2 linked regions of the Caenorhabditis elegans genome follow. The protein of the gene in region 2 interacts with the protein of the main gene of each other region in a pairwise test. Each region holds a gene or a part of one and is shown on either strand. Other genes may lie near its edges.

Evidence for each region. Proteins that work in one complex are often made in the same cells at the same time.
Region 1: the proteins of mksr-2 (region 2) and mksr-1 interact in a two-hybrid assay, tested with the Caenorhabditis elegans proteins (3 studies listed by BioGRID).

What each region holds. Positions count from the first base shown.
Region 1 is NC_003284.9:1,067,466-1,071,221, forward strand, and holds the start of mksr-1 (B9 domain-containing protein 1), read right to left. Parts: upstream 1,665-3,756; 5' UTR 1,569-1,664; coding exon 1,512-1,568; intron 1,067-1,511; coding exon 892-1,066; intron 342-891; coding exon 245-341; intron 203-244; coding exon 72-202; intron 1-71.
Region 2 is NC_003282.8:2,304,792-2,308,547, forward strand, and holds the start of mksr-2 (B9 domain-containing protein 2), read right to left. Parts: upstream 1,757-3,756; 5' UTR 1,750-1,756; coding exon 1,662-1,749; intron 1,213-1,661; coding exon 1,087-1,212; intron 1,042-1,086; coding exon 857-1,041; intron 1-856. Other genes in the region: vha-11 (V-type proton ATPase subunit C), read right to left, coding at 3,455-3,550.

The DNA.
Region 1 (3,756 bases), on a different chromosome or scaffold from region 2:
AATTGTTCCCGGTGTTACTTACTTCTATTCTCACAGCAAAAACAATTAAATTACAAAATTTTGATTCTTACCATATCTTCCATCTGCATTCGCCGGTAACATTGGATCCACAAACTCTGCATTCACTCGTCTCAACTTTGCAATCAATTGCTGAACTGTCGAAGAAGGTTCTGGCAGGAAACAGTGTACTCGGCAAACGTGTCTGAATTGATTTGAACTAAGTGAAAAATTGTTTAAAACTCACTTTCCAGGCTCTGTTGGAATCGGAAGCATACCATAGCCAGTCACACAATCTTTACCAGAATGGTCTTTAGAAAAACAGTTGAGTACAAGACGAGGCCCTGAAAAGTTGCACTTTTAGTGAAAATATGTTAACAAAAATTTATTAATTATCTTCCAACAACTTCACTTTAACAGTACATTGGTTTTTACAAAAAATAAGTCAACTGCTTTATTTGTTTTTTTGTAAGTTTAAAATGTAAAAATAACTGATATATATATATATATATATATATATATATATATACCAGACGCTGATCGCGCCTCCGGCGCATCCAACTGGCTGGAATAAATTTCAAATACCCCTTGAAGATAACATTGAAATTTTGAAATTAATTTGATTTTTTTGAAAATGAAAACTTTCAAAGTAACGGTAATTTTGCGTGTTGGCATAGCCTACATTGGACGGAAGGAAAATTTACTTTATATATAGTAATCTTCCAACAACTTCACTTTAACTGTACATTGGTTTTTACAAAAAATAAGTCAACTGCTTTATTTGTTTTTTTGTAAGTTTAAAATGTAAAAATAACTGATATATATATAATACATATATCAAAAATGTACATAAATGTATTATTTGTTTGAAATTACCTTTACAAAATAACTCACACATAAAAGGGCTGCTTCCTTTCAAACCACACTCGAAGGGCAAATCGATGAAAATCTGATTATCAGCGCCTCGAAATGAGAACGAGGATAGTGAAACTGTCTCTCCATTGATTATTTTCCAATCGCCTGTTGCAACAGTGCTCAGTTTGACACAAACATTGGATTCTTCCGGGAACTGAAATTAGTTTTATTATAGTTTCAGTTATATTTAATTGCTCGGCACATTACAGCGAAAAAAGTTATCTGTTTTTGATCTATTAAACTTTGCAGATATTATATTCTAAAAAAAATTATCAGAAAACTATTTGAAAATACATGGTTGTCAAAACTTCCACTAATAAAACGGTAAGTGCTGCTGGTTGTGCAAATAATCGTATTTTTCAAAAAAAGCACCACCAACAGCTCTGCAATATCTGTGAAAACCTATCTAATCGACTTTTTGGAGTTTTTTGGCAAATACGAATTTTTATTATAATATGAATTTCGAACTTATATTTCAAAAGAATAAGTGACTAGTTTTTGAAATTTTCACTTGTTTTACTACCTGTATTAACAAATAAGGTTAAGAAGCTCTCATTTTTTTTCTGAAGTTATAACAACAAAAATAGGAAAAAAATTACCTCGGTAGTCCGAACGTTTCCATGAATTGTCAGTACAATACTATCAGCTTTCTCCATCGTTTTTCACACTCCAAAACTGACAATCAATGTCAAAATTGTGAGAAGCGTTACGTAAACTAGTCTCTAGGTTGCCAAGGGAACATCTGCATAGAGAGAGCGTGCAATGCGGAGGGACAGACAAGGAAGGGGGAGGGCACCTGCATTTCGCGCACTCGCAGCAGATGGATACGACAACCAGCTGGTAGAAGAGCTGGAGAACCGGAAGGAACTGTCGATTGGTTATTAGATGTTCCGGATTTAGGAGAATATAAGGATATAGGACTTTTAGTGAACAAAACTGAAAACCGAGTTTCGGTATTTTGTTTGAGCAATGCATGCGATGAGATTAAGTTCACATATTACAGAAATGTGCATCAAACCAAAAATTGCAGATTTTTTTGGATAGTTTCAGTTAAAACTTGTTCAGTCTCTGGTGAATGGACAACTGTATTGAAATTTTATATTTATTAAGAAATTTGACGCAATATTTAAATTCCTTCAACATTACAATACATTTGTAAAATTGTAAAATCTTTTTTGAGGTGGTGGGAGAATCCAAACAAGACAATTTTCACGTTTTGAAAAATGGTAGTTTTATCAAACACAATTACCTTATTTCCTCTATTGGTCTTGCACCATACTAGCCAATCGAAAATTAGTTTTGCAGCCTTTTTTAGTATTGCACCATCTAATAGTCTCGGCAAAGACGTCTTTTGGCGGTCCAGCAAAACTGTGTGAAAACTCCAGAATTTTTTTCGAAAAACTAGACTTAAAAGCGTTCAAATTGTTGACAAAATATAGGAAAAGTATGTACTTTTAGTGATTTAATCGGTATCTAAACGGTTAAGTTTTTGATAAAATTTGGCCACTTATTTCAAGTTATGAGGCTGTCTCTAGTTGTTTTGCACCCCTACGGATCAATTGGAAATTAGTCGAGCATGCGAGACTAATAGAGGAAATACGGTATATAGCGTCTAAGACTTTGAAAACTGCCTTTCCAAAGCCAAAAACATTTTGTTGAAATTATCAAGCATACTGCGGTACATCAAAAAAAATACTGTGATAAAAATTTTTTACGGATAAAGCATTCTTTTAAAAATTCAATAAAACATATCAAAAAAAATTTAAATTTAAAAAATTGTTCAGTTCTCCAGGTCATGCAAAACAACGTCACTGGAACCAGAATCGATACGAGTTGCAGAAGAAATATGTCAGAAGATACGAAAAGTACAAAAATTTTGTATTTCTGGTGTTATGAGCGTTTTCCTGCTATCCCAGCAAAAAATATTGTTGCATTTTTTTGGTTCAATTTATAATAATTTAATAAATTTTTTTGCATATGTTTCAAAATTTCTTGTAGCATAGGTAATTATAAATTTAATATCTTATCGACTAGCGGGCCCTGCGGGCCCGCCAGTTGTAGGGGGTGTAAGGCGAGTCCCCTTGCCGGGCGTAGGTTCTCGGCTTCGCCTCGAACCTGTTAGTGGGTTCGTGAAAATTTCAGTAGGTCAATGGGAGTCTTCTTGATTTTTGAGTTCGGTTTGACCAAAAACAGAAGCACCCGTTGAATCAGTTAAAGCTGAGTTTTGATTGATTGAAGTTTGAGGAGGCACCCATATTTATTAGGGGAGACGCACCCATATTTTGTATAAAATCGAGTATTTCTATTCGAATCCCGATTACTCACAAAAAACAAAAAAGTTTGTCAGTTGGCAGAATTGAACCAACTACCAAAATTTCTGAGACATACGCAATAACCACTCGGCCATGCGGGATATTCCTCCAACAGGGATGTAGGGAAGAAAATTTTCTGGAGAGGAGTCGTCTTTCGATTCCGCTTTCTCCAATAATGTCAATTTGAGAAAAGATGTTTGAAAACCGTTTATCACTGATAAGTCAGCGGGAAAACGAATTTTTGAAAATTTTATTACAGGATTGTACTCATTATTGAATTCCCGAAAAGGAGACGTACAGTTGAGGGCTATATCTTGTAAACTGTTTGATTTGTAGAAAATAAACAAGTTTTGGCCTGAAAATTAATAAAAATAATATCTCTTGGCAGAGTATTTCTAATGCGACGAAACTTCATCTTCCATTAAATAAAATCAAAAACTATGAATCAAAAATACATTCCGCAAAACTTTAGTGGAAAAAATGTTCAGGAGACCCAGGAAACCACTCTTCCCAGTACTAAATTTTTGAATTA
Region 2 (3,756 bases):
TAAAAAATTTGCTAACTAACAAAATTTCCGCAACGTTGTACTTAATACTTAACAAATCGTTAGTTACAAATTTTTACTATCAACAATCCAAAAAATGTTATGCGCCTTTAAACTCAAAAGTTTAATGAAGCCCTTTTCTTTTTTAACCTACAAACTCCTATACCGTCCTCAAAACTAAAGTTTTAATAAACTTGTTAAATATTAAAATATTCAAAATTTAGTGATTAACAAAATGTTAGTTGATAACTTTTTACTATCAACAATCCAAAAAATGTTATGCGCCTTTAAACTCAAAAGTTTAATGAAGCCCTTTTTTTAACCTTCAAACGCCCATATCTCCCTTATGGCTAAACTTTCAAAAATTTGGTCAACTAACAAAATATGCAAAATTTAGTGCTTAACAAATTGTTAGTTGATAACTTTTTACTATGATCAATCCAAAAAATGTTATGCGCCTTTAAACTCAAAAGTTTAATGAAGCCCTTTTTTTTAACCTTCAAACGCCCATATCTCCCTTATAGCTAAACTTTCAAAAATTTCGTCAACTAACAAAATGTGCAAAATTTAGTGCTTAACAATTGTTAGTTGAAAACTTTTTGCTACCAACAGCCATAAGGATGTTATGCGCCTTTAAACTAACCTAATCCATATTCAAGTCTTCCCATTATTGTAAATTTACAGGTGAATATCTTGCTCATCTCCCTAATGGCTTTAGCGTTTTAAAAATTCTAAACTAACAAAGTATACCAAATTTTATGCTCAACAATTTATCAGTACACAATTATCTTCTACCTCCATCAGCAACCGAGTTATAACCAATATTCACTAGGGCGAACTTGCATACTTGCATACTCACCTGCAGTCCTCCTCCCACCAGTTTATGCATCATTTCCTCCCTCCAACTTCCTTTAGGTCGCCAGCATCCAGATGTTAGAACATGTTTCCCGGGAGAGGTAGGAAGGAGCAAAGTACCGTACCCAGCAATTTCCTGTCTACCGTAGTTGTCATGGTGCCAGATTTGGAGCAAAAGTCGGGGCCAACCTGGAAATTCCATCTATGTGTCGGGGGTGTCATGATGTCTCTTACCTTGAATACTGGAAGTTGCCAGGTGCAAATCGATTGGATGAGCAAAATGAGCATTTTCGAAAACTGAAGGACAATCTGTCTGAGTCTGACCCTCACTTTCACCCTGAACCACTCTCCAACCGCCTCCTGGAAATTTATTTATTTTTCTTTCTTTCTGATGAAATTTTTTTTTTTGAAGTTTCAAAATTCTAGAAGAATTGAAAAAATCAATTTCAAACTCGAAAATTTAAATTTCCCGCCGACCGCATGTTGCAAGTTCGCTCAGACGCGAAAATTGAAAAATTTAAATGTTTCTACGTTCAATTTATGAAATTTAAAATGTTTTTACAGAACGATTGTAATTTTCAGGGAAATTTAACGAAAAATTCTATTTTCCCTCAACCTATGTGCTATGCAAGCGCGCTCCAATGAGAAAATCCATGAAATTAATAATTTTCACGTTTCAAACTCGATGTACTGATAAAAATCGAAAAAATAACAACATTTTAATGTAAAATACACGAAAAACAATTTTTCAATCCAAAATTTGAGGAAAAACTCAAATTTTCCGCGAAAAAAATCGATAATGCTCTCACCAAAACTGAGTTGATATCGAATCGATAGCCGATTATCACCGAATCCACGTGCCGATAAAATTTGTCCCGAAACGAACACTTCGGCCATTTTATCCCGGAGGGAATCAATGGGCTCCGCGAGCTCCTTGGAGTGGAAGCCGGTTGCCACGGCAACCGGGTGGTGCAGAGGTGCCCAGCAACCGGGAAAAGCGTGGAAATAGATTGAGAAATGTCAGAATTTAGTAAAATTTCGATGTTCTTCAGTAATAAAAACCATTTTAATATTTTTTAATGCAAAGATCACAAAATTTGGCCACTTTTTCAGTGGAGCGCACATACAGTTGGGGCAAAGTTTGAATTTCTAAACAGAAATTGGATTTTTTGTTAATTTTTAGAGGAAAAACTGTTTTTTCTTCACGAAGACTTAGTTTTTCAACGATTTTTCGGACAAAAACGCAATTTTCTCATTAGAGCACACTTACAACGTTCGGTTGGAGCCCACGGTAGCACAGAAACTAGATGGATTGGTTCATGGTACTCAGTCTGGATACCTATATTGGCTACTATCTCGAAAACCATCACAAAAAAAAAACCATCACAAGATTTTGCGATGCATATAAGAAATGGCCGCAATGAAATTATCTATCTTTTCTATTAAGAAATTTTTTGATTGAAAATTTCCTAACCGGTCAAATTTGTGTTTGTTCGGTGGAGCGCGTTTGCACTCATCTAGCTGCTGTACCACCGTGTTTGAATTTCTGAACAGAAATTGGATTTTTAGGTTATTTTTATAGGAAAAATCGCATTTTCTTCACGAAGACTTAGTTTTTCAACGACTTTTTGGGCAAAAACGCATTTTTCTCATTAGAGCGCACTTACAACGTTCGGTTGGAGCAAATTTTAGTTTTTCCAGTGAAAAAGCCAAATTTTGTGCATTTCTCAACACAAAATGTGAATAAATCAAAAAAGTTCACTTGGGTTCCCGAGGAAAACGACAAATTTCGCCAAATTTCCGAATTTTCTTATTAGAGCGCGTTTTCAACATGTGATCGGGGCGCGATGTTCAAATTTTTCATGTAAAACGTGATGAAAATCCTAATTTTGCATATTTTATCAATGAAAACACTGAAATTTCGCTATTTTTCGAGGTGGTTTTCTCAATGGAGCGTATTTGCGCCTGCGCGAAATTCAAATTTTTCAGTCAAAAAATCAATTTCTATGTAGTTTCAAGTGCAAATTGAAATTTTAGGTAGTTTGTCATTAGAGCACAATTGAATTTCCGCGAAATTCAAATTTGCTCATTTCCAAATCGATTTTTAGTTCCTTTCCGGTCAAATTTGACCAATTTTCTTGCAGAAAAATCCCAAAAAATCCAAAAAAAAATATCAATAAAAAATACATTTATCTCTTGGAATGTAAAGAAATCGGAGAGTGTGTGAGGGGGGACTGACTGACTGAATGTTGTAGTTTGTCATACATAATAAGAGTAAAGGCGCGGAATTTATCCCTAAAAAATAAAGGAAAAATTCCAAAAAAAAGACGGGAAGGCGAGCATATAAGTGAAATTTCATCTAAAATTACACTAAATTTTAGGCCAATCTACTACTTCTAAAACTTGTAAAAATCGTTATATTTTTTGTCATAAAATTTTGAAAAATGTTTTTTTTTAATTGGGTGTAGTGAAAAATTGCGACTATCACAGGAAAATTGGGGTAAAAAAATAAGAAATTCGAAAAAAAAAAATTTTTGTTCTTGGGTGGTGATGGAGGGGGGAATGTGTGTGTACAAAATTCGGTGGTATCCAGATGACGTCATCACTTGTTCAAAAAATCGATATTCAGCTTGAAGAAGACGTATGGATAATATTCGTTCACACCCAGCGACATGAGAGCTGGCGAGTCTTCCAAAGTCTGCAAAAATTGAATTTTTCGGCAATTTTCTCATTAGAGCGCACTTGCACTCCATGTAAGCGCAAAATTGTTGCGGGGTAATACCTAGGAAATCACGGATTTTTGCAATTTTTGTCAGTAGAGCGCACTTGCATCGTGTGTGTGTGGTCGGCGCGAAATTCAAATTTTGCACAAGATTTTTGAGTTTTTGGTCAAAATTTGGCTAG